Stegostoma tigrinum: one gene and its partner. The protein of the gene in region 1 purifies or fractionates together with the protein of each later gene. This does not show direct contact. Links are inferred from orthologs where the notes say so. Each region holds a gene or a part of one and is shown on either strand. Other genes may lie near its edges. The genes, in order: tmem9b and flvcr1.

The links.
Region 2: the proteins of tmem9b (region 1) and flvcr1 purify together in Homo sapiens (co-immunoprecipitation; 3 studies listed by BioGRID and IntAct, counting the BioPlex papers as one, with this or other methods). This does not show direct contact. The link is inferred for Stegostoma tigrinum from reciprocal best matches to the Homo sapiens genes TMEM9B and FLVCR1.

What each region holds. Positions count from the first base shown.
Region 1 is NC_081370.1:28,109,029-28,126,221, reverse strand, and holds the start of tmem9b (transmembrane protein 9B), read right to left. Parts: upstream 6,696-17,193; 5' UTR 6,637-6,695; coding exon 6,550-6,636; exon of another isoform or gene 6,025-6,549; intron 1-6,024. UniProt on the Homo sapiens protein: Enhances production of pro-inflammatory cytokines induced by TNF, IL1B, and TLR ligands. Has a role in TNF activation of both the NF-kappaB and MAPK pathways.
Region 2 is NC_081362.1:55,404,759-55,421,704, reverse strand, and holds the start of flvcr1 (feline leukemia virus subgroup C receptor-related protein 1), read right to left. Parts: upstream 8,978-16,946; 5' UTR 8,792-8,977; coding exon 8,165-8,791; intron 1-8,164.

The DNA of each region.
Region 1 (17,193 bases):
ACCTCGAGTAGAACACAGTTCAAGCTGAATAGAATTCAGCTACAAATGAAGTGATTTGAGATAGAATGAGAGAAGCAAAAGATGAATTTCAACTTCAAAGACAGAAGAGTCAATGAGTCAAATGCCTATTTCAGGTGGACAGACTGGATAAACACAGGGTGCAAACAACCAATTTGGAATTCAATCTGAAGTTAATGCATGCCATACACAATACCGTCTGTCTGTTCAGAAAAGGGTGCTATGCAATCAGATCACTTAATTATATTCTTACAACCTCAGTAATAAATTCCCAGTAAATTGTTAAACTCCTCAGATTCTGAGGCACCAATGAGACAAGGGGAAAAAAACTACAGACAGCAACATTTTCCGAAACATTCTGTTTTTTTTCAATCATTATCAGCTCTATACCTGTTGCACAATGCAGAAAGGCATGAGGAAAATAAAGAGATAACAAGGTGTGGAACTGGATGAACACAGGTCGCCAGGCAGCATCAGAGGAGCAGGAAAGCTGACGTTTCGGGTCTGGACCCATCTTCAGAAATGGGGGAGGGGAAGGGGGCTCTGAAATAAATAGGGAGAGGGGGAGGCGATGATAGAAGGTGGATAGTAGAGCAGAAAGGTGGAGAGAAGACAGACAGGTCAAGGAGGCAGGGCTGAAGCTAGTACAGGTGAGTGTAGGTAGAGAGTTGGGATGGAGATTGGTCAGTCAAGTGGGAGGAGTGGATAGGTGGGAGAAAAGACAGACAGGAGGCAGGGCCAAGAGGCAGTGCTGGTCTTGGGATGAGGTCGGGGGTGGGGAGATTTTGAAGCTGGTAAAGTCCACGTTGAGACCATTGGGCTGCAGGGTTCCCAGGTGGAATATGAGGCGCGGTTCCTCCAGCCTTCATGCATCATCATGACACTGGAGGCGGCCCCGGATGGACGTGTCATTTAAGGAGTGGGAGGGGGAGTTGAAGTGGTTCGCGACTGGGAGGTGTGGTTGTTTGTCACGAACTGGGCACAGGTGCTCCACAAAGCGGTCTCCAAGCCTCTGCTTGGTTTCCCTGACGTAGAGGAGGCCACATCAGGAACAGCGGATACAATATACCACATCAGCAGGTGTGCAAGTGAACATCTGTTTAGGTGTGGAAGGTTTTCTTGGGGCTAGGGATGGAGGTGAGGGGTTGGTATAGGGGCAGGTGTTGCACGTCCTGCGGTTGCAGGGAAAAGTGCCAGGGATGGTTCACTAGTGGGGAGTGTGGAGTGGTCGAGGGAGTCACAGAGAGCGCGGTCCCTCTGGAAGGCAGATAAGGGTGGAGATGGAAATATATCCTTGGTAGTGGGGTCAGATTGCAGGTGGTGGAAAATGATGTGGTGAATCCAGATGTTGATGGGGGTGATATGTGACAACAAGGGGAATTCTGTCTTGTTATTGCAGGGAAGGGGTGTGAGGGCTGAGCTGTGAGAGACACACGAGATGTGGATGAGGGCGTTTTCGACCACTGTGGAGGGGAAATTGCGGTGCTTGAAAAACGAGGACATCCGGGATGTCTGGGAGTGGAACGCCTCATCTTGGGAGCAGATGCAGCAGAAGCAAAGGAATTGGGAATTGTCTCTGCCTGCTCCTGCCCCACCAAACCTATCTCCACTTATCTCAACTCCATTTTCTCCCCCCGGGGTCCAGGAACTCCCCACCTACGTCCTTGACACCACCCATAGCCTCCACCTCCTCCAAAACCTCCGATTCCCTGGCCCTCAACACCTCATCTTCACCATGGATGTCCAGTCCCTTTACACCTGCATTCCCCAGGCATAAAAGCTCTCCGCTTCTTCCTCTCCCGCAGGCCCACCAGTCCCCCTCTACCAACACCCTTATCTGCCTAACCGAACTTGTCCTTACTCTTAACGACATCTCCTTCAACTCCTCCCACATCCTACAGATGAAGGGGTGGCCATGGGTACCCGCATGGCCCCAAGATTTGCCTGCCTCTTTGTAGGATACGTGGAACAGTCCCTCTTCTGCAGCTACACTGGCACTATCCCCCACCTCTTCCTCCGTTACATCGATAACTGTGCCGGCGTTGCCTTGTGCTCCTACGAGGAGCTCGAACAGCTCATCCACTTTACTAACACCTTCCACCCCAACCTCAAGTTCACCTGGACCATCTCTGATACCTCTCTCCCCTTCCTGGACCTCTCTGTCTCCATCTCTGGTAACCGACTGGAAACTGATATCTATTTCAAGCCCACTGACTCCCACAACTACCTGGAATACACCTCCTCTCACTCACCTTCCTGCAAAAATGCTCTCCTCTTTACCCAATTTCTTTGCCTCATCTGCTTGGATGACATGTCCATCCTGGGCCTCCTCCAGTGCCACAACGATGCCACCCGAAGGCTGGAAGAACAGCACCTCATATTCCACCTGGGAACCCTGCAGCCCAATGGTCTCAATGTGGATTTTACAAGCTTCAAAATCTCCCCACCCCCGACCTCATCCCTAGACCAGCGCCCCCTCTCATCCCTGCCTCCTTAACCTGTCTGTCTTTTCTCCCACCTATCCACTCCTCCCACCTCCGACATCCTACCAAATAGCCTCATCCCCAACTCCTTGACCTGTTTGTCTTCCCTCCCGCTTACCCATCCCTCCCTCCTCACTGACCAATCCCCATCCCAACTCTCTATCTACACTCACCTGTACTGGCTTCATCCCTGCCTCTTTGACCTGTCTGTCTTCTCTCCACCTATCTGCTCTACTATCCACCTTCTATCATTACCTCCCCCTTTCTCTATTTATTTCAGAGCTCCCTTCCTATCCCTCAATTCTGAAGAAGGGTCCAGATCTGGAACGTCAGCTTTCCTGCTCCCCTAATGCTGCCTGGCCTGCTGTGTTCATCCTGCTCCATACCTTGTTACCTCAGACTCCAGCATCGGCAGTTCCTACTATCTCTCATGAAGAAAATAAAGCTGCTTGGTGCCTATCTAAACAAGTGCAAAATAATTATTAATAATTGATCGGTCAAGTCTTTAAAATTAATTGCAATTAGGAATTTAAAAATTTATCATTGAACCAAAAGCTAACACTAATAAAGCAAATCGGAAATTAGCTAGATAAATTACAAACTAGGAAGTGAAAGGAAAAATATTACTGTGCTTGTTTATCTTCATCATGACTCTTCAGATAGTTAAGCTGTCCATGACAATCTGAAAAATATTCAGCTTGGGCTGATAAATGGCAAGTAACATTCTTACCGCACAAGTGCCAACCAATGACCATCTCCAGCGAGAGATCTGATCAGCACCTCTTGACGTTCAGTGGCATTAATATCACCGACTCCCCACGATAAACAGAATCATACAGTACAGAAACAGACCTTTCTGTCCAACTCATCCATGCCGAAACTAAGTTTACCAAACTAAAGTAAACCCACTTGCCTGCATTTGGCTTACTTCCCTCAAAACTTTTCCTATTCACATATCTGTCCAAATGTCTTTTAAATGCTGTAACTGTGCTTGCATCTACCACTTCCTCCAGCAGTTCATTCCACACACGAACCACCCTCTTTGTGAAAAAGTGCATTCCTATCTTCTCAGATAATGATGCAGTCCATGTCCTCATGCAGCAAGACCTGGGACAATATGCAAATTTGGGCTAACAAATGGCAAGTACCATTCATGCAACAAATACCAGACAACAACCACCTCCAAGAAGAGGGAATTCAACTATCATCCCTGAATATTCAATGTCATTACCATTGCTGAATCCCCATTATCAACAACGTGAAGATTACCACTGACCAGAAACTGAACTTGACTACCCATATAAATGCATGGCTACAAGAGCAGGTGAGAGGCTATGAATATTGTAGCAAATAACACTTTCCCAAATGTCTGTCCATCATCTCTAAGGCACAAGTAAGCTGTGTGATGGAATATTCTCCACTTGCTCTAATATTTAAGAAGCTTAAGAACATAATCCAGAACAAAGCAGCCTGCTTGACCGGCACCATATCTGCAACATTGGTAGGGTTCAACAGGATTACATGCTCAGACTATCCTCGTTCCTCATTTTAAAAAAGTGTTGACTTTTTTTGCTATTTAGTGGTAACATTGCCATTTGGGTATCCTCCTCCAACTCACATCACAGTGGAAAAGCTTTAGAGCTGCATGAATGATCTGGAAGAACAGGAATCCCATTGGGTTCCATAATGTTAAATTTCTGAGAAAGCACTGTACACTGTTCTCCGAAAAGAATGAAGCATACGAAAATTCATGACACCTCAGATGAATATCTTGGACATGGCATGTCAATTACATCATCATCAGATAGCTTGGGCAAGTACAAGACCTCTGTGGAAGCAAGTATATCGTATCAGTCTGCAACCATCCAATCATGGAATCAAGGTGAAAAGATTTGAGTGTGGGCGTTGAAGCGTTAATAACAGCAACGAATCAATTTTCAGTGGCAAGTTATATGCCTTGCAGTACCATTGCACTATTAGAATTATCAAATGTAATACCTGCAAGAATTGATTTTTAAATGTATTCAATCTTGTTTCAAGGCAGTGCAGGAAATGGTAATAAAATTTTAATGAAATTAATGCGCAGTATGAAATTAAGGGCAGATTCATTTCAAATCAATTTCTAAACAAATCTTCAAGCGTTTGTTGTACACAGCAATATTCTATGTAGCTCAATAGGAACTTGATATTGAAATGAACAATTCAGGTTGTTTATATTTTTGTATAGTTTTGTATGTAAAGATCGATATGACATTCAAAATACTTTCTTCACTTCTTCAACAAGTTTTAAAAGGCTTTTCATAACAAGGGTTCTGTGGTGTAAAGATGAAAATATAATTTTTTTTTCAATTGCTTAAAATCCTAGAGTAGATGGGATGTACACTATTTGGGTAATCAAATCCACTTTAAAAAAAGAATCTTTAATTCTTAAATCTTGTTTGTTTACTCATCAAAAATAAATCACAAATCAGAATGCTAAAACATTTTTCAGTTTGTGGGTTTTTTTAAAGAAATACTGGACTGCTTGAGAGAACAAGCTTTAACAAGTGTCAACTACATCACTTTTTATTTTAAACTGTTGGATAAACAGGAACAGTTCTTCCATTTTTTTCATTTTAATACAAAACATTTATTTCATGTTTCATTCCAGGTGTAACTTAGTCTTTCAGCAGTTAGAAATTCAGAACACTTGTCTGAATCCAGAAAACAGGGTTGTAGATACTTTCTAATCAACCTGCTCAGAGACGTTGAGCAGACTGGAATTCTGGAACTCCACCTCTGGAGCAGGTAGGACTTGAACCTGGCTCTCCAGGCTCATAGGTAGGGACACTAGAACTGCATATTAAAATATGTCTTGGTAACGAAGTGATTTTTTTCCCATGTTTTCATTAATTACTTGGGAAATCTCTTCTTACCTGACATGGTAGACTTCTTCCATACTGTCTCTTCTCCAGTGTTGCTCTGCCTTTACACTGGCAGTTTTTCTATATTAATTTTCTATTTATCAACTCACAAAGATTACACTTTCTCACAGAACTCCAGCGTTGGATGCACCCCACTTAAATTTTAGGCAGAATATAGGTAAAATATATTTCATCAATACTCTGCTTTTTTTATTCCTAGACAATTAAATCAGGCTTAATCCCAGTCATTTTAGTGAAATTAACTACTTTCCAGTTGAACACGTTTTACTGTTAGGTTCCCATCCAAAATTAAAGAGCAGCCAAATCAATTATATTTACATTTCCTACATTTGGGTCGCTTAAATACCCAGCTTTAAAACAGGCAGATAGAATTAAAAAAAGGATTGTCTTAAAGATGCTAATTCACCAGGAAGTAGCGGTTAACACAATGAGGATATTAAAATGCAACTGTAAACTATACAGAGTAAGTTTTCAACACTCCATCAAATAAACTCGTAAAAGTTATCATCTCAGCTATAAAATTCATAAACAAGTCACAGATCACCATTTGTGATTTCCTGCTGCTGAATTTGGACGTCACTTCCTAAAATCTACGGGACTATTAATGCAACGCCGAAATCCACAACTGTGCCAGCGGATATCATTTTCCAACAAACAGTTCCACAAACGTATGATTTTATTTGATTCTTAAAGATCAATATCTACTTAGAATTTATACCTTTGAATGAGGCCTCTTTACTTTTTAAAATGATTAAGAGTAGAAATAAATTTAAAAGAGATCAATTTGGAGAGTTGTCAACAGTGACATTACTGGTCAGATGAGTGACCCAGCCTGCAAAATGTTCAAAGGAAGCTGTATTTAGGGTGGATCGCATTTAGAAAGCAAAGCAAAACAAAGCTGTCAGTAAGACAGAGCAGTATGGTAAATTACACAGACTAGCACCGTTAGTGACCAAACGTGTGGGTTCCGCCTCCACTCATCACCCGTTCACACTGTGTATGAACCCTTGATGACTTGGGCCTGAGGCCACCGACCCTCCGTTTAGCAGCAGAGGACTATTTTCCCGGTTCAGCGCCGCTGGTACATCCATCAGCGGTCAGCTTCCTCACTCATTCCTTCGTACCTTGTTCTCCTCGCTCCTCGCCAGCACAAGCAGACACAGCAGCAACCAGAGGGACAGAACAATACTACAGCCACAAGCGCCCGCCATCTCACCACCCAGCGCTCCCTTCCTCGTTGTCGGGGCTCCCTCTCCTGGAGACAGCGTTTCCCTGGTAACCGACTGGCGAGTACGAGATCAATGCCTGAGGCCTAGTCCGTCGGTGTGTCTGAGGAGGGAAGACCGGACAGCATTTTGTCTTCAAGAACATGTACTGCCTATTTTTTTATTTTTATCTCTTCTTTATTGTTAAAGGTGAGACAAAAGGAAGAATGAGTTTTCGCTGTTTTAGTTTACACCAGTTTATGTTCGCATTGTTATTAGAGTCAGCGCCGCATAAGTTTTCAGCAATCGGAGCCTATTTTCATTTATAGGGATAACAAGGTGTAGAGTTGGATGAACACAGTAGGCCAAGCAGCATCAGAGGAGCAGGAAAGCTGATGTTTCGGGCCTAGATCCTTCTTCAGAATTGCATTTCTGAAGAAAGGTCCAGACCCGAAATGTCAGCCTTCCTGCACCTCTGATGCTGCTTGGCCTGCTGTGTTCATCCAACTCTACACCTTGTCATCTCAGATTCTCCAGCATGTGCAGTTCCTACTATCGCTGAAGCCTATTTTCATTTATATCGTTTATCAATATCTAAATAATAAATGGTGTACACGGCCCTACTACCGGCGTCTCATTATTAAACCTTTTACAATTTAGTTAATGTTGAGATTCTCCAAACAGCAATGAATGAAAGTTTGCAATGAGACCTATTACAAATTCCTTAAAATATACTGTGTATGTTTACTTTTAACATGTGTCAAATTCAGTCAAAAATCCAAGGTTGATTATAGCATTCCAAATTAGTGGTTTGCTACGTACAAGTCCAAAAAATGTGGGCCAGTTTGTGTTAACTATGGACAATACAGAGTACAGTGCTACAGCATAAAGGCTAGCAAACACTGTGAAAACCGAAAGAGACATATGGATTTCAAAACATCAACCAAAATAGGTGCAGCAGTTGAAATAAATGTACCGAATGTTGCAGATTTCCCATAATGTGTAGCTCACCTTGTTAATTATTGTCAATTCATATGTGTATGCAAAACAATTTCCAAAATTATGTTCCTTTATTAAAGGGTGGTAGAGCAAAACAAGTGTAAACAAGCAGTAACATTCACATGTCAGCTGTGAAATAATTTAACTGGTATGAGATATGCATGATTCAGCATGAGTTAGGAACAATAAACATTGCTAAGGAGGTTATTTCGTTCAATATATAATTTTGTTAAATGTCAAACCAACTTGCAGCATGTACCTGAGAAGTTGAAACAATGATTAAGATTTCATTAAAAAGGCACACCTTGAAATTTGTTAGCTTTGAGATTCTTCCTGGAGCTGGTTCCATCCACATGGTTCTTGGTCTTATAAACATGCAACCATATAGAAACCAGGAGCATTGAAGTTTTTGAACCTACCCTGCCATTCATTACAATCATGCTGAGCATCTATCTCAGTCTACGTTCCCACTTTCTCATTAAATGCTTTTAATGTCTCTTATGTAAAAAAAGAACGTTCTTGAATATATTGACTTGGCCTCCTCAGCCTTCCATGGTTAAAAAGTTCCAGATTCACAACCTTGTGAGCAAAGAAATTTTTTTCCTTATTTCAATCCTAAACAGTCTACTGCGTGTCCCAAGACTGTGATCCCTGGTTCACACTTCCTATCAGGGAAAATAATCTGACTGCATCTAGTCTGCCCAGGTCTGTTAGAATTTTATACTTTTCAATCAGATCTTCCAAACTCTGGTGAATGCAGGCTCAGTCAAACCGGTTTCCCATCATACAACAGTCTTGCCATCCCCAGTTTCAGCCTAGTTAATGTTTGCTGCACTCCCTTCAATGATAAGGGTATCCTTTCTTAGGTTGAGAGATCAAAGCTGCACAAAATACTCCAGGTGTAGTCTCACCAAGGTCCTGTACAAATGCAGTAAGGCATCCTTACTTTGTAATTTAAATGCTCTTGCAATGAAAGCCAATATATCATTTGCCTTTCTAATTGCTTTTGCACCTGCCTGTCTCCTTCCAATGACTCGGTACAAGGACACTCAGATCCCTTTGTGCATCCACTTTTACCAATATATTACAGTGTAAATAATACTTTGCCTTTCTATTTTTCACACCAAAGTGTATGACTTCACATTTACCCATGTTGTACAAATATGCCACATGTTTACCCATTCACTCAACTTGTCTAAATCACCATGTAGCCTCTTTGCTGCATTGTCAAAACTCTCAATTCTACAATAACATGGTGTGGAGCTGGATAACACAGCAGGCCAAGCAGCATCTTAGGAGCAGGAAAGCTGACATTTCGGGCCTAAACCCTTCAGATTTTCTGATGAAGGATCTGGGCCTGAAATGTCAGCTTTCCTGCTCCTAAGATGCTGCCTGGCCTGCTGTGTTCATCCAGCTCCCCACCTTGTTGTCTTGGATTCTCCAGCATCTGCAGTTCCTATTATCTCAATTCCACCCAGTTTGTGTCATCAGCAAACTTGGAAATATTGCATGTGGTTCTTTCAACCAGGTCATTCATATATGTTATGAATAGCTGATGCCCAATTACTCATCTTTGTCGTACCCCAGTAGTCACTGCCGACCATGTAGAAAAGACCAATTTATTGCCACTCTGTGTCCTGTGTCAACCAATTCTCAGCCCATGCTCCCAATATTACCCCCAATCTCATATGCTTTAATTTTGCTCACTAACCTCTTATAAGGAAATTTATCAAAAACCTCTGAAAATCCAAATACACATACCCTGGTTTTCCCTTTTCTATTCTATTAGTTACATTGTCAAAAAACTCCAGTAGATTTTTTTAGGCATGATTTGCCTTTCATAAACCCATGCTTGCATTGTCTAATCCCATTAATGCGTTCCAAATGCTCTGTTATCATGTCTTTAATAATGGACTCTTGGTGTTTTCCCACGGCTGCTGTAAGACAAGTGGTCTGTAATTCTCTCTTTTTCACTCCTTTTTAAAAGAAAGGTTACGTTTACCATTCTTCAGTCTCTAAAATCTGCTCCAGCGTCTCTAGAATTTTGGAAGATGACTATCATTACATCTAATATTTCCATACGACCTTAACAATTAAGAACAAGATTACAAAGTGTGTAGCTGGATGAACACAGCAGGCCAAGCAGCATCTCAGGAGCACAAAAGCTGACGTTTCGGGCCGAGACCCTTCAGAGAGGGGGATGGGGAGAGGGAACTGGAATAAATAGGGAGAGGGGGGAGGCGGACCGAAGATGGAGAGAAAACAAGATAGGTGGAGAGGAGAGTATAGGTGAGGAGGTAGGGAGGGGATAGGTCAGTCCAGGGAAGATGGACAGGTCAATGAGGCAGGATGAGGTGGAAGGTAGGAAATGGAGGTGCGGCTTGAGGTGGGAGGAAGGGATGGATGAGAGGAAGAACAGGTTAGGGAAGCAGAGACAGGCTGGGCTGGTTTGGGATGCAGTGGGGGGAGGGGAGATTTTGAAGCTTGTGAAGTCCACATTGATACCAACGGGCTGCAGGGTTCCCAAGCGGAATATGAGTTGCTGTTCCAGCAACCTTTGTGTGGCATCATTGTGGCACTGCAGGAGGCCCATGATGGACATGTCGTCTGAGGAATGGGAGGGGGAGCTGAAATGGCTCACGACTGGGAGGTGCAGCTGTTTGTTACGAACCGAGCGGAGGTGTTCTGCAAAGCGGTCCCCAAGCCTCCGCTTGGTTTCCCCAATGTAGAGGAAGCCACACCGGATACAATGGATACAATATACCACATTGGCAGATGTGCAGGTGAACATCTGGGTGTCGCAGAGAGAGTGGTCTCTCCAGAAGGCAGACAAGGTTGGGGATGGAAAAATAGCTCGGGTGTTGGAGTCAGATTGTAGATGGCGGAAGTGTCGGAGGATGATACATTGTGTCTGGAGGTTGGTGGGGTGGTATGTGAGAACGAAGGGGATCCTCTGGGGGCGGTTGTGGCGGGAGCGGGGTGTGAGGGATGTGTTGTGGGAAATGCAGGAGACGCGGTCAAGGGCGTTCTCGACCACTGCAGGGGGAAAGTAGCGGTCCTTGAAGAACGTGGACATCTGGGATGTGCGGGAGTGGAATGCCTCATCCTGGGAGCAATTGGGGTGGAGGCGGAGGAATTGGGGATAGGGGATGGAATTTTTGCAGGAGGGTGGGTGGGAGGAAGTGTATTCTAGTATTCTTGGGGGCCGCTTTACAGAACACGTCCACTCGGTTCGCAACAAACAGCTGCACCTCTCAGTCGCGAGCTATTTCAGCTCCCCCTCCCATTCCTCAGACGACATGTCCATCATGGGCCTCCTGCAGTGCCACAATGATGCCACACAAAGGTTGCAAGAACAGCAACTCATATTCCGCTTGGGAACCCTGCAGCCCAATGGTATCAATGTGGACTTCACAAGCTTCAAAATCTCCCCTTCCCCCACTGCATCCCAAACCAGCCCAGCCTGTCTCTCCTTCCCTAACCTGTTCTTCCTCTCACCCATCCCTTCCTCCCACCTCAAGCCGCACCTCCATTTCCTACCTTCCACCTCATCCCACCTCCTTGACCTGTCCATCTTCCCTGGACTGACCTATCCCCTCCCTACCTCCCCACCTATACTCTCTCCACCTATCTTCTTTTCTCTCCGTCTTTGGTCCGCCTCACCCTCTCTCCCTATTTATTCCAGTTCCCTCTCCCCATCCCCCTCTCTGATGAAGTGTCTAGGCCTGAAACGTCAGCTTTTGAGCTCCTGAGATGCTACTTAGCCTGCTGTGTATATCCAGCTCCACACTTTGTTATCTTGGATTCTCCAGCATCTGCAGTTCCCATTATCACTCATAGGAACAAGATTAGGCCGTCTGGCCTTATTGCACAAGTACCCCAAGTCTCTGTGTTGCAGTTTTCTGTAGTTTTTCTCTATTTAGATAATACTCTGTTCTTTAGTTCTCCCCTCCAAAATGAACAACTTCACATTTTTCCCACATTATACTCCATTTGCAAACATTTTGCATACTTAACGTATCAATAACTTTCTGGAAGCTGTTATGTTCCCCTCTCTCAACTTGCCTTTACACCAGTTTTTGTACCATCTGCAAATTTAGCTACTGTACATTTGCTTATTTCCAAGGTAGTAATATATATTGTAAACAGATTCAGGGCTACTTCCTTTAGTATTTTGGGATGTCGATCATCAGACCTCGTGATTTGTTAGCCTTTGTTTCAATTAATTTCCCTAATATTGTTGTCTTACTCATACTGATTTTCTTTAATTAGTACCACTCTCTCACTAGCCCCTTAGTTCCCGAACATTTCCAGGTGGTTACCTGAGCCCTGTTTGATGAAGACAGGAGCAGTGTATGTATTCATTTTCTTTTGACAATTCTTAGTTCCCCATTCTAACTGTAAGAAACTGCTCCCAATTCTCAGGCTTTCTGCAAGTTTGTCTATTTCCTCTTTGGATCTAATATTATCCCTAATTTCTTTTGTAAGCCATAGTTGAGCCACCGTTTTTGTTTTATTTTTGCACCAGACAGGAATGTAAAATAGTTGTAATTAAATCTTTCAAATATTATCCATTGTCTATCCTTCATCAAATGGGGTGACTCCCAAAGCAGAGGCCACCATGAGGAGGTGAGTCCCAAACTGGAGGCCATCACGAGGAGATGGGTCACAGCCTGGAAGCTGTCGCAGGGAGGGAAGTCCCTTGTGGACTGTCAGCGAGGCTTTGAGTTTTGAAGGCTGGCATGGTCGGGATGCTAGGTGCTGGCACGGACTTGATGAAAAGTACTATAATTTGAGTACTTTTTAAAAAAAAGCTTTTTATTCTTATGCTGGACTTCAAGTAATTTGAGTACTTTTTAAAACCTTTGTATTCCTGAGCTAGATTTTACTTATTATTCTTTCAATTCTGTAACAAATACTTAAGTATCTATACCTAGGTATCCTGTATCTATGATGGCGCCGGCATACGTGGTGACATTGCAAACTTTTCACTGCATTCGTTTGAGTGCACGTGACAATAAAGCTGATTCTAATTCTAACCCTTTTCATAAAATTTTCCAGTCCGTCCTTGCTGAATCGCACCTCACATCCTCGTAGTTATTTTTACTTAGATTCAGGCCCCTTGTTTTGGATTCAACTATTCACTATCCATCTTAATGAGGAATTCTGTCATGTTGCAATCAGTCTTTCCGAAGAGATCCCACACAAAATGATTGTAAAAATTAATCCTTTCTTGTTACTCCATACCCATTCTAGAATGGCCTGTGCTGTGTTTGGTTCTACAAAGTATTGGTCTAAAAACCTGTCGCACATGAACTCCAGAAAATCCTTCTCCACAGTATCATTGCTAGCATGTGCTGAGCCATAGTACATTTGTGGCAGATATTACCTCAACTAATGTTACAACCAAGTCTGGAAGATTGAATAAATTCCTCTCGAACACTCTTAAGTTTGGCTACTAATGAGTTTGAATTTCAAAAATATGACTTTCTTCAATTCATTATGTCTTTGGCCACATGCAAAGTTATATGAAGAAATAAGGCAGACAGATGTTGAGTTGATGAAAATAAAGAGTTAGTTTTATTGTAAATTCATTCAAGTAAAGTATAAACTTATAAAAAGGGTGAAACAGATCCTACAACACACTTTGAGGTTCATTTGGCAATCTTGAAGTTCTGACGCTGCTTGGAATAATGTAATGGCCCAATTGCAGTTGTTCCAAAGATCATCTCTTTTAAACTAGTAACATCATTTTCCAGAACTATTGCTATAATGGTTGAAGTTCCTTTGGTATTTAATTCTTCTTTCTCTTTGATCCATCTTGCAAAAAACGTGGTGCCTGAATGTGGACAGCTGCTATTCCGATTCCATATTTCAGACCTTTTTGATTTTATTGCTCTCTGTAGCAAGCAGACAAGTTTATGATCATAGCTTTTTACAAGGGCACATTTGTGATAGCTGACTATTGGCATACAATGGGGACAGTCTGTATGAACAATCCATTTTCAAAACTATCAATGAAACTGACAAGGGAGTCTTTAGCGACCTTTTTTGCATTCTGATGGATTTGGTAGTTTTCCTTGTATGTCTGGTAGTTTCTGCAGACAAGATGTCAGTTGTTGAATGACATGTGAAATTCTGCAGGAGAACTGGCCACTTGTGCTTCATGGTAATCCATTTCAGAAGTATTTTGAAACTGGGCCACTCTTGTAGGTCAAGTGGCTTCTGCAGCCATTTCACAATACTGTATCTTAACCCATCTCAAGGTATTTTCTTTTGAGCGCAAGTCCGAAGTATTGAATCACTTGGTTCAGTTAAAGATTAATAATCCATATATCACAACTTTGAGCCTCTAAGTATCAAACAAAAATGCTACATTAACATAAGCAAGGGATTAGGAGGGCTATAAGGGGCTAAGAAATATTCTTGGCAAACAGGATTAAGGAAAATTCCAAGGCATTTTATTTGCACATAAGAAGAAAGAGGGTAGGTAGGGAAAGGATAAGTCCACTCAAACAAAAGAAAACAACAGAAGGAGCATTTCAAACCCAATATAAGACAGAAATAGATACTTAGCTTTCCATAAACAGGACATTATCTATGCATAGTATTCAAGCCAAATTGAAAATATATGTCTGTATTAAAAACTATGGGTAAGGCCTGTCCATGGAAGTCAAGGAAAACTGTATATGGGACAGTTTGCACAATATCAAAGCCAAACTAAAAACATTGAGGGCCGAAGGGCCTGTACTGTGCTGTAATGTTCTATATATGCTCTGCTAAAATCTATGGATAAGGTCTGGATCTGGAGGTTGAGACATATAACAGAATCTGAAATGTTACTCTATTTATACAATTATGAGTAACTGGTTTTCATGAAATCTAGAAAGAGTCTGAACAAGGGTCACTAGTTTCAAAATGTTAACTCTGCTTTCTGTCCACAGATGCTGCCAGATCTGCTGAGTTTTTCCAGTAATTTCTGTTTCTGTTTCTAATCTAAAATGGAGATAGATTGGACACATGCTAGGACCAAAAGTGACAGTGTTAGACCATTTGTGAGTTTACAGGATGTATAACAAAAAATTATCTGATCAGAATAGGCATCATCCTGCAAGATGTCTTTGATGCATCCTATTTCAGCATTAAGCTTGCATGATGAACAAGTGGCTTAGGCCCTAGTTGAAGGTTCTGATAATGTAGTATGTGGAACTGTAGGAATTCCAACGCATTTATTGCCCAATAAAAGTAGGCTTGTGGTATGCAAAGCTCAAGAGCCCCTGGCTGATTTCTCTGCTGGGACATCAAGGAAAGGGAGCTAGTTTGATTGATTGTGCGATGGAGCCTGTTAATACATGAAAGAAAATTCTTGCATCTATTTATAACTTCAGTTAAAGTAAATCTATGCCTTGTAAATATGCAAGGATAGGAAGTTGAGTATCAGTGTATTGAAGGCACATTTCTGATGGAATCCAACAAAGATGTTTGCAAGAACTCAGCCTAGAGGGCATCCCATAGCAATATTATTTATTTTGCCCAATGTGATGTTAAAACTGAACTTAATTACTGGTTGCTGAGTTCTTGAGATCATTGAATACTGATTCACACAATTCTGATCGTTCTAAATTGCCTTGACATAGTGCTCCATTACAAAAATCTGTGGCTTCCTTGAGAAGTACACTTTTGAATGGTTAGTAATCTTAAATAAGCACATGTACACTGTATTTCTATACATATGCAAATTCTGTATAGTCTATGCAAATGAAAAGGAATCCTTCAATGAGCTTGTGAAAACTGGTTAAAGCAATTCATTCAATCATTTGGCTAGTTCATATTGTGCAGACCTAGTTGTAGATAAGATAGGATGTGAGGGAACATAGAGTCATAGAGTCATACCATGATTTTTCTTGTATTTTCCTAATTGTGGATTGAAATAAAAAATGAACTGCTTTAAAAACCAAGGATTGAAAGTGAGTAATGTGATACTCAGTGTGAACTACGTACAGCTGGGGCTGTAGCATTGTTTGCTGATTAACTAGAGCCAAGGTGTTCTGTAAAATTAGAACTTTGGTTGGTTTTGGACTAGTGACCAGTTATCAATGACAAAACCCTTCTGCCTGCCAACAGCCATGTGTTTGGTTTTCAGGTAACTGAACAGCTTGGGTCTGGGATTAAGATACAAAGAAGCCACCAGGGTCTCTACCAGCCAAGACCTCTCTCTCTCTGTTCTGTGTATTAAGCCAATTTAAACCTGAAGGAAAACAGTTTATCTTTCATAATAAAACAGAACTACTGATACTGGAGATCTGAAACAAGAACAGAAATTGCTGGAGAAACTCAGCAGTTCTGGCAGCATCTGTGGAAAGAAAACAGAGTTAACATTTTGAATCTGGTTCTGAAGAAGAGTCACCAGATTTAACACTAACTCTGCTTTCTTTCCAATGATGCTGCTAGCCCTGCTGAATTTCTCCAGAAATTTGTTTTCATTCCAGTTTATGTTTCCTTCAGCAGTTGGTGTAAGCTGTGATGTTTAATTAACAAACCAGAAACCTTTTATAAGTGAAACAGTCATCTTGTACCTCTTGCAAACCAGTGAAAACATCCAACAAAAGACAACTAAGAAGCAGTGGTCTGACCAGCTCAAGAAATGTATGACACATCTCAACAGATCCTGTGAACAGGGACCATGAAACCCAGTAATACCTTCATCCATAACCCACTCTTTCCCCCTATCTATCTATCTGCCAATTTTTGTGTGTAAGGGAATATAGTTTCAGTTTGTAAACTTTAATGCTGATCGTTCATAGCCATTTTCCTATAGCATGATTCTAATTGCTTATAATAAATAGTAATTTTTGTTAAGTTCAGAAACCCGCTCTATGATTTCTGTCAACCTTGGTCTAAAAACCAGGTAAATTGAGGCATCTTTGGTACTTTTCAAAATATTTAATTTTTATGATGACACCAAGAATAGTAGGGCTTTATTGATTTCCAGCATGTTACCCCAGTGAGACTTGACAGCACCACTTTTTTGTCTTGCACAGCCCATAGACATATGGGTGCATTGAGCCATGAGGACAAACCCTATCAAATATATCAGCAGCTCGTAGCTCTTGCACAAATTCAGGAAGCTTGCATTGAGTAAAGCTACCGTAGGATCTTAGAATCATAGGGTAATACAGCATGGAAATAGGCCCTTTGGCTCAAATTGGTCCATGCCGATATTGGTGTACACTCAATTGTTTCAATTGCCTGCATTTGATTGATATCCTTCTCAACCCTTCCCATCCATGTACCTATCCAAATATTTATAAAAGTTACTATTGTACCTTCCTCAACCACTTTGTCTGGCACCAAATGCACCACTCTCTGCATGAAGAAGTTGCCCCTCAGGTCCTTCTTAAATCTATCTTTACTCACCTTAAACCTATGCCCTCTAGTTTGCAATTCCCCATCCCTGGGGATAAAAAAAACTATTTGCATTCATCCTATCTGTGCCTTCATTCTTCTATGTTCCAAAGAATAAAGTCCTGTCCTGGCCACCCTTTCTCTATAACTCAGACCTAC
Region 2 (16,946 bases), on another chromosome or scaffold:
AGGCCAGAGCTAATATTTAGTAATATTTCATATTCAGTCATTTCCTTAGTGGTCATTAACACAAATAAACTTGAAGATCTCACTTTCTCCAAGTAGCTTAAATATTAGCAGCCCTTTGCAGATGCGTATTACAAATGAAAATTCAAGTAACTGGGTAATACCAAGAGTCCCATTACTCTGCAGTGACGTATTTCAAAAGGCTGCCACACGAGCAAGAATTGGAAGGAAATTGTGGCACGGATAAATTTGAAGACAAACATAGCAAGATCTAACGTGCAAATGTTTAAAATAATTGAGCACAGATCAAGGCATTTAATTTCCATTTTTTGCAGCTTGTGCCCCAGACTCAAAGGTATTGTGATCCTCTAGATCATAGTACAGTCGTCACATTTCTGAACAAGTGACGAAAGCTGCAAGGATGTCAGTACTAACCCATTAAATCAAACTGCTCTCAGTTGAGCTATCTATTGACAAATAACTTAAAGGTCTACTGAAAGATGGCTTCAGCAGGATACCAGAAAGAAACTGGTATTTGTGGATTCATACTTAGGTTGGCTGTTAACTAACTTCACAGCTAACCTACAAGCACCAAGTTGCATACCTTCGTTATGGGGTGTAATGTGCCACAACAGTTAGCCCTTAATGGCAACCTCTATTGGCACTCAAGAAAGAGGAGAGAAACCTATTAAGTCCTTCGGTAACTGCAAATAGAGTAGAATTCAAAATGGAGAAGAGAGATTTACCTTTAAGTGCCCTAAAAAGCAAAGAAAAAAACAGGATTGGGAAAACTTCATCTGGAAGTGACAAGATCTATTGAGAGGTTTCTGCTAAAAAGCTCAGTTGAAATAGCCAGTGATTACAGCAGCAGTGGAAAAGTCTATAAATGGCATATAAGCCTGGGCACAAAAGTTCTCACCGCTGAGTAGGTAGTGGCAGTGGCTGGGTACTGCACCATACCAACATTGAAAATAATCTTCTGGCAACCTTTGGAAGAAAAGATCCAGGTTGTCAAAATTCCAGTGGTTAGAGGATAATCAAGTTAGGTCATATTTTGGTCTGTCATTTGCAGTGAGGTCTCCTCTCCTACCTGCAGCTCAGAGCCCACAAACTTGTAAATTGTTTTTGGAGAAAAGGGGGAAATGCACATCTGGCAATGACACGTCCACATTGCTCCTGGGCTGCATTTTATCTCTAATTTGCACTAGATAAATGGCAATCCTTCTCTACCACCCTCTCTTCACATCTATGCTCATTTTATCTGCACCGCTGTTCAAGTTGATCTTATATTTAGTCCCCTCAGCTTGGGGCAAAAAATAGGGAATTATTTTTTTCCTTTTCTGGAAGAAGTTAATTCTTCTGGAACATTTGTTCAGGCAATACCCCTTGAGTGAATGTAACTTGACTATTTCTTCTTTAATGTGTAATTGGAGCTTCATTTTATAAACAAAAATATTTTAAAAGGCCACATTATTGTTTCCCAGAGTTTTTACAAAGTCTGACAACTGTGTGTTGATCCCTTCCACATCAATCCCAAAAAAATTGGACTTTTAAAAGAAAAAGTGCATTGACAAGTTTGCATGATTGTAAGTGGGTTAAAAAAACACTCTGGAATGAAGTACATTCGTTTATATTGAATTCACAAGAACATCTAATTCAAATGGGATTATATTTATACATTCAAAGGTATAATAATCTGTACATTTACCTGTATACTTCTGATGTTATTGGTATAGATATATGTTCTATTTGAAGCAAAACGGCCAACAAAAACAGGCCAGAGCCACTTGATGTGCCTCTTATGTGTTTAGATTGCAGGTTTCTCACTCAAATTGACAGGAGGGTGCATTAATGATCTCAGATAATTTTGGGTTTGCAGACATGCAATTAGAGCATACTTGACCTGCATGATGAACTGGCTTAAAGATTTCTAGAAGACATTTGATAAGATACACAAAGGTATTTGCAACAATGTTTACAGTGTAAAGGGTAATGTAGTGGTGTGAACAGATGATTGTTGGCCAGCCAATGATCAGCATAGGCATAAACTGGTCATTTTCAGGTTGACAAAACGTACAAGTGATGCACTACAGTGGTCAGCGTCACGGCCTCAACTTCTGACATTTTGTATAAATGGGATATGGGAACCAAAGGTATGTCAGCCAAATTTACCGATGGCAAAGATAATGAGGAAAATAAGTTGGGGAAAGGATAAAGAGAAGGTAGAGATGTGGCAACTCGGAGTTAAAACATGGGAAATTGTGAATTTTTCATTTTGGCAGCAAGGATAAAAAAAGCAGCATATTATCTCAATGGCGAGAAGATTACCGAGTTCCAAGTTCGAAGGATCTGGATTTTAAGACCAAGATTTGTAAAAACTGTACTATGCAGGTATAGCAAGTAATTGGGGGAAAAAAAAATCAGATGTTAGCATTTGTGAGAATTGAATCGAACAGTAGGAGACTGCATTTCAGTTATACAAGGCACTGGCTAGGCTACGCTACATCTGGGGTACTGCTGTAAATGCAATGGAAGCAGTTCAAAGGTTCTCTAATTCCGTCTTGACAAGTTCAGAGACAGGATGGTTTCTCTTGCATTCGATCTTAGAGTTAAGGCGACTCTTTAGTATGCAGTCTTGTGCTTCAGAAAGGCACTTCAGTAATAGAGTACAGTGTGCCTGGTTCCACTCATGACATGATCTTCGCATATCCTCATTGAACTGCATTTGCCCTCCTGACTTGATAAGAATGGAAGATTGAGTGATATGTTTAGCTAAGATTACAGACTGCAGAAGAGAGATTTTCTGCTGATTACCCTCAGAATCTCAGACGTCCAGCTTCAAATAGCTGCATTCTACATTTTTCCCCACTTTGCAATAGTGCAATACAACACAACAAAAGATGTCTCATTGTGCAGATGCAGCATAGTTTCCAAAAGGTCACTGCAGTGGTCTCTCTGGGCAAATGCATCTGCAGTAGGGATACAGATGAGGTGGTGGTAAAGTATTCTAACCACCTGCTGCATTTCCAGTCTAATAGCTAGGACTTTCAAAACTTGGGTCAGCAGTGCTGCTTCCAAGGTATTCTTGATCATGGGCATTAATTATCCTAAACTCTTGGTACCTCTTCAGCCTTTGATACCTCAATACTTCTCCATTTTGAGCACAACTTGGGGGTGGTACTTAGTGAAGAATATAGGAAGTAATAACATGAGGTGGCCTGAACAAATACAAAGCATCTCAAAAAAACTCAGCAAGTTCTGCTTTTCTCTGTGGAAGTTACCGTGGAGTCCAGCAACCCTTTGTCAGAATCCAACCAGTACTGTTGAGGAGTCATTGAACTTGAAATGCGAGCTCAGTTTTTCTCTGTACAGAGGAGGCCAGACATCCGGCCTGTAGCAAGAACAATGCTAATACTCCCAAAGTCAAATCTCTACTCAAGGCAGCCCATTTCCCGTTCCCAATTAAAACCAATGTCATAGCATGCTTAGTCTCAGTCAGTGAGCAAGCCCCATCAACCCAGGAGAACAGCTGAGCATGTAAAGATTGTGTCTTTATATTTTCTGTATTTCCTGTTTGTGGACTAAAATGAGAACTGTTTTAAAAATCAAAGTCTTAAGGATACTGCAGTTTTTGGAAGCAATAATGTGACACTGCTGGTTCTAGTAATAGTTAAAGTATAGCTTGCAGATGGGCTGGTGCAGAAGCATGTGCATAGAAACGGAGATTCAGTAAGCAACTGATTATCTGTGGAATAGTCACCATTTATCGATGAAGGTCTTACGTTTGGCAACTATGATCAGTTCTCAAGTAGCTGAACAGCTTGGTACTACGAACAAAATAGAGACAAGTTACAAGCTCAAGAGCTCTCTGCAGTCAATGCTACCGTAAGAAAACCAGTTTACTTTTCCTCCAGCAGGTGCTGTTCACTGTGATTTTCAATAAAGTCAGAGAGCTTTTATAAGTGTCAACCAGCCACCCATATGTACTGCAAGCCAATGAAAGCAGATCAGCAGGACCGAGAAGCAGCATTTTGATCAGCACAAGAATCATCTCAGCAGGTCCTGTGAACAGGGGCCACTGACCTGCTTTTCCAAATTATCCCTCTGCCGGGACTTTTTCCCCATCTCTGTGGGCGTATGGGCTGCATTCATAAGGAGGAGGTTTAGAGAGTGGTTAGTTTTAACAAGTGGAATTTATGCCAACGGATCATTTTATTTGTAGCTATAGTTTACTTAATTGTAATTGGTAATCTGCACTTTGTCAACCTGTATCTAAAGAAATAACAAACAGGGAAATTTTACATACTTTAATAACACCTGTAACTTTTACGAAGACTCCACAAATAGTGGGGCTTAATTTCTAACACACAAGAATGAGACGTGATAAGAGTGGGAGTGAACATACACTCGACTTTGTAGAGTTGGGCAAGGTGGTGGCGGTAAGTATATAGTATCAATACACTACCTCAGTTAAGCAAATCTTCAGAATAAAGTCAACTGATAGGAGTAACCCAATTAAGAATAACCCTCGCTAACAAATGTGTTAAATCAATTGGATTGCAGTTTGACTAGTGACAAATGCACACCCAATCCTAGTATTGAATCCCCACTCCAAAATCCTTTTGTCTCAAACTACTGAATAGTTAAAAATAAAATTAGTTTTTACTGATTATTTGAGTTTTGATATAGATGTGAAAGAAGGATGTCTTCAATTTTCTGCAGATATCCAGAGGTCACTTCTGAGACTTCATTATATGTGAAAATCCAATCTCACCTCACTTGTGCAGAACTCTCAAATAAATGCAAGGGCACTCATAAAAGGAGTATTTAAGTAGATTTTGTTAAAACAATTGCATAAATGCACAAAGAGATCATCTGTTGTACTTAATTGAAGATAATTATAACATCAAATATATAAATCATCATACAGTAGGAGTGGATGACTGAAACATATAATATTGAAACAGAAATGCTAAAAAACCAAGTAGCCCTATGATGCATGCACAGGCAATGCGAGGCACACAACAATTAAATTCAGAGAGCTCATGCCCAGGATACTGAAACAATTGAATAGATCCTCTTCTGATCACTGTGACTCATTCCTATTGAACATTTACATGCTGAAACCTAGTGACAGGGACCAGTTATCAGTTAAGTTCCTGAATGCTATGTAGTATTAGGGAGCTCTGTGTGCTGATCAGTACTTCGTATTCTATTTTTAAATAAACGTTGTTCAAAAGGTATCAATGACTGAATAACCTACCACACCAGCCATAGCCTATTGGCATCTTTGGACACAAATGAACAGCTTGTAATGTGACTAGATTTGCCTCTATGATAACATGCTGTCAGCAGTAGGTATGTCATTAATGTGCATCTCACTATTTGGCTCTGTGATACCTGGAAAAAAAAATTCAGCTTCCAGTTTGAACTAAAATCTTTGCTTGTTAATTCTTGCAATGGGCTGGGTGACTGTGGCAAAATCAGGTGTAAATCTGGCACAATCATTCAACTATTCCCAATAGACTTCTTACCTCACTCAAGCTGCATGTAGCACTGATATCAGGTATGCAAATAAAGTATGGTGGATAGCATTTGAAATGCTGCTGAAGAAGTTCCATTATTATATTGTTCATAAACTCTGTAAAAAAGATCAGCTGCCTGGATTTGGGAGCTAATTTTAAAAGTATTGCAAGGAGGTCAAGTTTCAAAAACTGTGGCTCCAAACAGTTTGTCAATAGCCATGAGATGTATCATTCAATTGAAGCTGGACACCATCAGATTCTAATGCTCATTTGTTATAGGCACGCTTGTTGAGTAAGCTTGCACTTACCCCGGTGTCTATCATTCCTTGCTTAGGTATATTCAGCACGTTCATTTCAATCATCAATGATCTGGATAGATTACTTGACAGCATCACATTCATCACCTATGCAGCATTAGGGTCTGGATGGAGTGATTATCGCCCTCTGGCTGTGTTGTTTAGTACACCATCTTCTGAAGTCTTGGGATTCCATCTTCCTTACAAAACTGTCCCATGATTTAGAATGACAGGAAACTGCAAAACCATTTTGGTTAACGCATAATAATCTGATTTTACCTCTGAAAGGGAAGGATCCTTTGTGTACTACCACTGGAATCATCTGAAGATGCTATTTTGTTCCTGGGAACTCTACATAGACTGTCATGAGACATGCTGTTTATGGATGTTATTACAATGGCATGCTTGTTCTATGCCTGAAGTTTGCAAGTCAGAAGTTTCCAATGTTCACTCTATACCCAGCATGTCGTGATGGTACTGCATTTTAGAATTCTCGTGCAGGTTCTAATTCATGAATATTAGGAAGATATATGTCTACTACCTCACTCAGTTTGTCTACCTGGCCTAAACGTTTTTTCTTCAGCACAAAGTCTGCTCATAAGTTTCATACAGTTTGCCTCACCTTTTTCTGATACTATAATATTAAAAACAGAATGGCATACTTGTTAGTCCCGCCTGAAGTAATCAGAAAACTCAAATCGTCTGAATCCGTTTTCTCCTTCAATCCAAGACCTGATCAACATCTGTATCAGCTGGAAAAATGATGGAAATCCTTGTTGCCTTTCCTTGAGGACTTTTTTTTTGTTTTAAAAGGGTATTTACGTTCGGCAAAACTGCACAGAAATGTTCTGGAATTGTCCTTTCATAGAGAGTTTTTATTTTTCAAAGTATTTAAGAGAAAATAGAAGACATGTTAAAGCATACACATATAGTAACAAAAATGGCAGCTCAAATGAATAGCAGACACCAAATACTTAGTGACACATTAAACCCCCAGATACCAAAAGTAATATTGGGGGGTAAGAAGTGAGGTGTGGGGTAGTCAGGAAATAAAAGGCCTGAACTGAAATGGTCTCCATTATCAAGAACACTAAATAGAGGGCAGTGCAGGATGACAAAGCTACCACTGCCCAATGGCAAGGGGTGGGGGGTAGCTTCTGCCAATTCGCTACCCATTCAAAAATAACGTCAACCAATCCACGCCATAATCTCAAAGTATAGATAAGAGGAGGAGATCTGGAAATAATCAATGAAAAATTAAAAAAGGTCAAGTCAAGTGTTAATACGCAGACTTAAATCATCAACAATTGAAACAGGGCAGAATTTTCACTGAACAAACTGGCTTGAATAAATTAAGACCAGAGTTTCAGGAGCCACTCTTCCAAATGGAAAGGATACACAACGTGTGCCACAAAAGCTGCCAATTTCAGACTGCCTTGATGCCAAAGAGTTAGGCTGCAGTTCACCACAATGATAGTTTGCTTTCAGAAAAAAGATAAAAAGGGGCTGTCTTGTGCAACATTGCCGATGTCTTCAGTGACTTCTTTGTCAAGTGTAACGAACGATGGAATGAGATATCAGTTACAAACGTATAAGTGCATGCAAGACAGGACACCATTTTCTTCTGCCAAGTTCTTAACTATAACTGCCATTTTTTGAAGGTTTCCTGCCTGAATCACTACGTGATGAAATCCACATAAAATGAAGTAAAGCATGCGTTTGACTGAGCAACGTGTCCCAGCTCGGAAGGGAGTAAATATGCATTTTAAAATGCAAAAATATGCTTAATTCATAAATTACCTATAACTAGCGCTGTCGGATAAGCCGGCATCCTAGCCGAAAAAGAACGCAGCGGAATCTAAGATAAAGACAAGTTCAAATATTTGCGAATAAAAATAAACTCAAGGCCGCCAATTTCCTCGGGGGTGGGGGGAGAGGAAGAGAATAAATCGGGCGATTAACGGGAGCTCCACATCTACGTGTTGGACTGTTCGATGGGGATTCAAGTTGGTCGGTCTTGAACCACGATCGGGTTACAGGACGGGGAGGAAGAAGAAACGCAAACAATAGCCGGCTCGGCTGCAGCACGGTTTCTGCAACACACGGTAACCCCCGGGGTGGTAAAGGAACGGAGCACGAAAAGGGAGCGGAAACGTGCCCAGCGGCCCCAACGCCACGACGTGCAGGACACATTGGTGCAGCGGCGGGAAAAGGACGAAGGAGACGGAGCGGCTGCCGCTCGTCCGCCCACCCGCTCACGCCCCTCTGGAGTCCAGGAGCGGGGGAAATTCCCAAGCCCACCCCGCCTAATTTCAGATCCCCACCCCCACACTTGATGCTCCTTACCTGATTGCCCAGGACGGCGGTAGCACACGCTGTCGACACCTCCTTGGGCCCGAACCATACTGATGCTACCCTAGAGGGCAGGCCAAGGATAAAAATCTGAGCGATGGAGCAGACCGTCTGGGCGAACATGGTCACTCCGAACAGGTCCTGCCTCACGCTGGCGATCTTAATCCAGGCTCCGATGCAGTTGAGGCCGGAGCCCAGTAGCGCCACAGTCCGCAAGCCTTTCTTATCGAGCAGCCAGGCGGCGGGGAAGATGAGGGGGACGTAGACGAGCATATAGACCACCGAGAGCCAGTCGATCTGCTCGTAGGAGACTTGGTAAAAATAACAGAAGATGTTGGCGATAATGCTGTACTGGATCCACTGAAAGGCGTTCACCATGGAGTACAGGCTGAACACGATCAGAATGACGAACCGGTTCCAGTAAACGCGTGTCTGGATCGGCTTCACATCGCCGGTCAGCATAGCCTCCCTCTCCTCAGGGGACCTAGCACCTTTCATGCATTTTCCGTCCTGCATAACACCATCTATATGGCCAGAAAGACCGTTTATAACCACTTCTCTAGCGCAGGCGGTAGGAATTGCCTTTGTGACAGGGCACACAGTTCCATCGGCATCCACCATTGTTAGCTTTTGTTTTATTTTGTTAATACACAAAATATATGGTTTTTATAACCCACTGAAAAACTAAAATATATTTTTATATGTTACACGTTCGATTTTCTTCGAAAAAAGTAAGATTGTAATTCGCAAATAGGAGCACGTATTATTCCTAATTGAAGATGTTTCCTAAGCGAATGAGAGCAGCTCCGAGATGCAGTGGTTTATGAAGCCGCCTCACGCATTCCACGAAGGCGGGGTGATAATTGACGTCGCTTTGGTCCAGTAGGGGTTCGTATCAGGGAGGCACGCATGATTGACGTGGAACATAACCAATAGTCTACCACAATAGGAAGGGCAATGCAAATAAGGCGTTCCTTGACCAACCGGATCTCGATATCGGTGACGGAATCGACCAATCGCATATAGTGGTAAGGCGGGACCGTAAGATGATTGACACCTATTCGACCAATGGGCTACCGGACATCGTATCGATGTGGAAAATGCGCAATCTTCGCTACAGAAAATTTATTTTTTTGAGAATATCAAAATATTAGCAAGGACAAAGAACAAATCCACTTGCTAATTAGAGAATTAAAATTCAATAAAACTTCAGTTTAATCCGATCTGAAAAAATAAGAAGCACAATGGAACTCGTGTCTTGGCTTTCAGTTAAGCCAATTGAAAAATCTGCTGATGTGACATCATTGTTCCGCTACGGTTAGTTTGGGGAAAAAACTTCGAGATATCTTACACAGGATTTTAAATACCCCATAAACAGCGTGTGTTAAAATTATCATGACATGTTCCACATTGACACGTTTAAATGTTTTAAATGTCTTTTGTTTTGCCTTTTTCAAACTGTCGACATCTATTTTCACAAAATGGCTGTTATTGTCATGTGATTTCATATCCCCTTGACTCCCTCAATAGCAAAAATGATTAATAACCACCATTTGTTTGAGATATATCATGTAAGCATAACTAAAATTCAAAATACCTGTGCTTTTATTGCAAGCCGAATGTTGAACAAAGTCTGGAACATGATTTTAATGCGAGGTCTTATGGCTAAAAATGGCACACTGAGGAATGATCTGGTAGTCAATAAGTATTCAGTTTAGATATGATGCCAGTTCAATAGGAAATTTCTCACGCTGTTTTTGCAATGCTGTAGATCTCTTTTAGGAGTAAACTGCACTTATTTCTTGTTACCTTTTACTCTGAGCAAATAATAAAACTACCCAAACAGAGAATGTTGGATAAACTCAACAAGCCTGGCAGCGTCCGTGAAGAGAAATAGAATTAACACTCCAAGTCTGGCATGACTTTTCTCTGTTTCAAATTTCCAGCATCTGCAATATTTTGCTTTTGTTGAATTAAACTATACATCTTGCTACCAGGTTCAATAAAATTCTGCAACAAGGACAGCAGAATAAAGAGCCATGTACACATGTTTGATGACACACTCTACACTGGATAGCACAACAAGTAGTATTAATGGAAACAAAGTTACAAAGGGGCATGACCTGAATAACTGCACAAACAAAACTGAATTCACTGGGGAAATATAAGGTTATCAATGAAAGACCTAGGGAAGCTAAACAGTAAGAACCCAGGACTTGTGGAAGAGCAAAAAAAATTCAGAAATCTATATACAGAGCTCACTAAAGCTATAATGGGCAGTGTAATGTATCCAAGAGGCTGAAGTGCAAAGAAACGTCAGTTACGTATGTCAAGAGCATTAGATTGCACTACATAAATTTAGGCACGATGTTTCAGGAAGGATAATACAGTGGACAGGGGTGTTGGAGAGAAAGGGCAGGAGGTACAGCACATATTCACCAGAATCACTGAAAGAGTTAAATTATGAAGACAGTAAAATCTAGGCTCATGCTCCCTTGCCTATTGAAGATTAAAAGATGATCTAAATTAGGTTTAAGGTGATTAAAAGATTTGTTGGCTAAATAGAAAATTGTTCCTCAGTTGAAATAGTCCAATTAGATCTAGGCGAAGTTAGGAAGCACTTCTTTTTGGAAATCTGGAACACATTCTCTTAGCTTTGAGATCAGATAAATTGAAAATCAATAATCAACATAGATTGCTCATGAAGTGAAAATGACCAGAATTTGTAAATTGAGATCTAATTATTTGGCAAGATGATTGAGGGACTAAATGTTCATATTTTCTTCCTATGACTATTATTAGCCTACTATATTGCAATATATTAGATGCAGTATTTGGTTTCATAAGCATATAAGAAATAAGTGTGTAGACCCGTATGGTCAAACCTACACTGCTGTTTAATACAAAAATAGCTGAACACTTACATGAACTTTACATTGCTGAACTATCCCAAACCTTACGCACAAAAATCTGTTGCACAGATAATATTAAATATAATCATCAGCTGAGTGTTTCGAAGAGACGAGAATGCCAAGAATTCACAGACCTATGAAAGAGATGTTCCTTCACAGCTTTGATTTTTTGGAGTCAGAGTTATACAGCACAGAAACAGACCTTTATTCCAACGCACCTGCGCCAACCTGGTACCCTAAACTGATCTAGTCCCATTTGCCAGCATTTAGCCCATATCCCTCAAAACCCTTCCTATTCATTAACCCATCCAGATGTCTTTTAAATGTTGTCATTGTACTGACCTATACCACCTGCTCTGGTAGCTCGTTCCATTAACACACGACCCTCGGTGTGAAAAAGTTCCCCTCAGGCCCCTTTTAAATCTTTCCCCTTTCCTCATAAACCTGCAGCCTTGGACTCCCCTACCCTGGGAGAAAGACCTTAGCCATTCATCCTATCTATGCCCCACATGATTTTATAAACCTCTGTAAAGTCACCCCTCAGCAAAGTTCCAGGGCAAAAAAAAACTCAGTTCAGCCTCTCCCTTTAGCCTAAACTCTCCAATCCTGTCAACATCCTTGTAAATCTTTACTGAACCCTTCATGGAAGCTCTGTAGCCTACAGGTAGTTGTCCTGTAACATGATAGTTGCATTCTTGTGCGGTCTTAGGCTGTAGAAAATCACCATAAAAAATCGCGTTAAAGAGAATTCGCTATTAGGAAATCTCTATACTGTGTAATAGAAAGTTCATGTTATCCAAACAGCATTCACTATTCCTTAATTGTACTAAAGCCAATTCACTTTAACGAAACGTATTATAGCAGGAATATCTATCTAACATGGTGGATGGATCTCACATCCAGAAATCCAAACTCCATATTCAGCTAAAATCATTTTTGCCACGAAATGAAAAAAGAGGATGGTACATGACTCATATCTGGGGCAATCCAGAACTCAGCAGAGCTTTTAGACACGACACTGAGTTCAAACCTCAGCCCTTTAAAAATGCAAATGAAACTGCCTGGCAAGTGTACAAATATACTGTTCTAACATTTCTTCAGCAGTTTGTTGACATAGTCCTAAGTGCCATCAGAGTAATATTAACAATGCTTGACTGCTTTTCACAAACCTCCATTTTAATAATGAAAAGTTATACATTTACAGCTTTGACAGCTAAAAGAAATAGTTAAAGGATTAGCTTTCTTTGATTTGGGTTACACATACAAATGTTTGGGTTTTTTGTAACAATTTAGAAAGTTGGTGGGAATTAAATGCATTGGACAGTCTTCCATTGATGCAAATTTTTTTACATGGTGAAGTAAGTACTCCATATTTTGAACTTTATTTGATTTCATCCCAATATGTTGGATTCCTAGGTTGGCATATGGGCTATTAAGAACCAGGGGGATGGGTTGGCTTGAGTTGGCACTACCTTTGTTAGGAGACGTAAGGAGCCATGGAGGTGGATGAGGGGGTGTGGGTTTTTACTAAGTTGGTATTGAGGCTACATGGGTCCATAAGTGTCGTAGGGCATATGAGTTAGCATGATTTGGAACTGTATTAGTTTAGTGGCTATAAGGAACCATGGAAATGAATAGGAGACTTGGTTTGTGACTTTGGTTTAACCCCTAATGAATGCTGAATGGCCATTTGTTAGGTGGGATTAATTTTGTAACCATGCAAAAGTGGCTGCTAACTAAAGCAACTTCAGACAGGCAGTACAAGTGGCTCCAACATTGGAAATGTGGCAAGAGGAGCATATGAGTTGCAGGGTATTCCAATAAAAGTGGACACCCTAGCCGGTCAACTGAACTTGGGGAATGCCACTTGAGTGAAGGCAATTGCATAACCTAACTCAGGATGTATCCTGAACAGAGGGACTTAGGTCAGCCCACAGCAAAACCCCAAAACAAAGCCAAACCTCAGCCAAAGGATTAAAATTTTCTTCAGGATCCAGGCGATCAAGTCATTCCAAGTGCTTCCATAGCATTTCGTACTGTAACGGCTGTTTCAGTAATCACAGAACCAGCCTTTAACAAAATTCGCTTTGAAAAGCTGGCGGGGACAGTCTGGAATAAACAGGGAGAGAGGGGGAGGCAGAACCCTCTCCCCATCCCCCTCTCTGATGAAGGGTCTAGGCCCGAAACATCAGCTTTTGTGCTCCTGAGATGCTGCTTGGCCTGCTGTGTTCATCCAGCTTCACACTTTGTTATCTTGGATTCTCCAGCATCTGCAGTTCCCATTATCTCTGATACAAGACTGCCATTTGGGTTATCATCAGCCTGTACAATTTTTGAGCAGACAATGGAAACAATTTGCAAGGTCTCCCCTAGGTTGTAATTTATCGACTCTAAGGGGCACTGAGAGAACTTGGGCACAGTTCTTAGACATTTCTCCCAGGCAGGCATATGCTTTAGAAGGGAAAATTTGTGTTCCAGGCATCTCAAGTGAACTACTTGGGCTAGAGTTGACAAAACTGGATCACACCCATTGGAAGATAAACAGAGGGTGTTAAAAGGCGCCCTGGCTCCGACGTCTGTACTGGAGCTCATGTCTCATAGGTGCCCACTCAAAGTGATTGGACATGCATAGAGTTCATTTGTCAAACAAGGCGATGACGATACAAAACCTGCATGCACCTTTTGCAATATACAGACTCCTGGAAGTGTTAACCATTGAAAATGACCCATTTTTGCCAGCAGGGAATTTGAGTGTTTCCTATAGTCAAATGACATTCAACATATAAGGACAGCTTCATAGCATCCATCGTCCAATGGTCTGGCAGAAAGAGCAGTCCAAACTTTAAAGGCAGACTTAAAGAAACAGCCTACAGCTTCACTAGATACCAAACTGTCCTGGTTCCTATTTGATTATGGGACCATCCTTATTGCAACTCCAACAGAGTTGCTAATGAAATGAAGACTCCACATCAGGTTAAATCTGATCTTTCTGAATGTGGGTGGGGGGTGTTAGTGAAATGGCATCAGGAACATCAATGCCAGACACAAGACTCCACTAACCATGGGTGATAAGGGACGTACTTTTATGCAGGAACCATGGGAATGTTCCTGCATGGTAAGAGAAGTGGTCAACGTGAGTTCAGGTCCAGTAGCGTACAAGGTCTGGGGAGGTGAAACAGTTTTGAACAAGCACATGAACCGTATGAAAGCTGCAAACACGCAAACAGTGCAGGACCAAAACATACCCATCTTGTCAGAATAATAAGAAAAGCTGGCAGAAACCCTGGTTTCTCACCCTCTGACAAATGTTGAAGAGACCTTCGAACCTGAGATGGACATGGTAGATGTTGCCACCTGAAGAAGAAGATGAATTTCTTCTGAGACACTCGGGATGCAAGAGGTAACTATTGTGTGTTACACACTGCCCGTACCCATGTCAGAATCGGAGGAACCTGACCAAGGGTTAGTGTCCCAGGAGTACCTACAAGAAAATGAACTGGCCTATATCCTCAGATTGAGAAGGCAAAGGGTATAATGATTGTAACAAGGTCAGCTAGCTGGATCCATAGAATATGAGTTCCCTGACTGGGGCTGTTAATCTGGTCCAATCAGAAAATAACTGGTGTGTTGGACATCCAGATATCGAGAGCCGGTTCTAGGGAAGCTAAATCAGTGTCAAGGACTTTCCACATGTAAAGAAAGAGTAATTTAGTGATGGGATGCCAGCCTTTGTGCAGTTATTTCTGCCTCCTTCACTTCTGCCAAGTGAGTAAAGAAGTAAGTACTCCTATTTTCTAAACTGTTTATGACATACTCAAATGCATTCACTTATCCACGGAGGAGGGTAACAAAAGGCGGATTGAAGTTAAACTGTCAAACTAAAATATACTGTTATTTGCAATTGTAAAAAGAGTCCTATTTAATTGCTTTCCAAATGTTTTCATTCCATTTTTGCCTTTTATCATCGATTAACAATGACCCAGATTTTCCAGTCCACTGCCACCTACAAAGTTTGCTGCACCTTGATGAAATTACAAATTTTCGAACAGAACCTCTAATCCGTGCTGAAGCAGTTTTCCTGGTCCAGTAAGTACAGAAGAGTTGATGACAAAAGAAGACATACTTTTTTAGGTAGTTCACTGCCATATTCAGGTATATTGGTAAAAGCTTCAATTCTTTTAATAAATGGATGAGAGAGTGAATAGATGGATTGTGGAGTTGGCAATTGAGTCAAATCTATGCTGGTTAAGGGGTAGTGAGTTGAGGAGGTAGTTCAGATGATCAGAGGCAGTCAGGTCAGGAGGATTTTGTAGATCGATTGGGCATTTGGGTTGAGGGAATAATCAGGTCGAGTGTCTGATTGGTTGAGTCAGGTGGGTTGTCAGGTTGGGTGGGTAGTTGGCTGGTATGTACTCGGGTTGGATAGTTGTGCTAGGTGTGTGTTCAGGTTGGGTGGGTAATTAGGTAAATAAAGCAGAGATAATGGGAACAGCACATGCTGGAGAATCCGAGATAACAAAGTGTGCAGCTGGATGAACACAGCAGGCCAAGCAGCATCTTGGCCTGCTGTGTTTATCCAGCTCCACACTTTCTAATCTAGGTAAATAAAGCAGTCATGTTGGTGAGGTGGTTGGATTGTTGGACTTGGATTGCTGGGAGTGGGAGAGGGTGTATGGTTTGTTAGGTCAGGATAGAGGAGGTGATTGAGTATGGTCAGTTGTGATGTTCAAATCTGTAACGTTGACTAATCATGGTATTAAATCAGGTATTAACCTGCTTAACATTTTCTTGCTAAGTATCCATTCATGATTTTGAATGCCTGTCAATTCTCTCCCTAACCTTCCTTGGTCTCTCAACATAACTGAAGATCAAGTGGGCATTGGGTTTATTTAAGTCATTGGATGGGTGGGCACTTGGGTTGTGTGGGGTTGTTGGGTCAAATGTGTGATTGTTTACCAATCGAGTAAATCTCCTCTGTATAAAGTTTTAGCATAATTTTATTGTTTTAAGTACACATACTCCTAATTATAAAGTTAAAAATCCAGTACACCTTTTATAATATTTCTCAACTTGCCTTCTACTTTCAAAGATTTGTGCACATCTACTCAAGTCTCTGTTCAACTCATCTAGTCTACTGTATTTGTTGCTCACAAAGTGGTCTGCTCTACAGTGGGGAGAAAAAACAGAGTGGTTGACTGCTTTGCAGGACACCTATGTTCTATTCACAAAAATTACCCTGAGCTTCCTGTTGCCTGCCACTTCAACACACCACAATGTTCCTTGGCCAGCATCTCTCTCTCTCTCTCTCTCTCTCTCTCTCTCTCTCTCTCTCAGGCTTCTGCCCTGCTCCAGTGAAGCTCAGCGCAAGCTAGAAGAACAGCAACCTCATTTTCTGCTTAGGACCCGACAGTCTTCAGGCCTCAATATCAAATTCAATAATTTTAAGGTCTGAGCAACTTCTCCCTTACCCCAATCCCTACACACTAGGACTTGTCATCACATGAGCTACTATCACAAAAAGCCACTAATGTCCTCCACTAGCAGCTATTGATTCTCCCAAGCTCACTTTTATCCATTCTTTTGTCTGTCCAACTGGATTTCATCTCCACCAATTATTTATTCCTGACCTGCCCCACCTCCCACCCTCATCCTCTTCTTTTAAGAAATCCATGCTTGCTTTAATTGAATAACCCAAATTTTCGATGTAAGATTGCCCTTAAACTGGCAACTCCACAGATACTCCCAAAATTGCTGAGTACTTCATGCATTTTCATTTTATTTGAGATTTCCAGCACCTGCATTTTCTTTTGCATTTGAAAGGTGGATACCCAGAGTTTACTCATGAGGTCAATAACAGAAGCTTT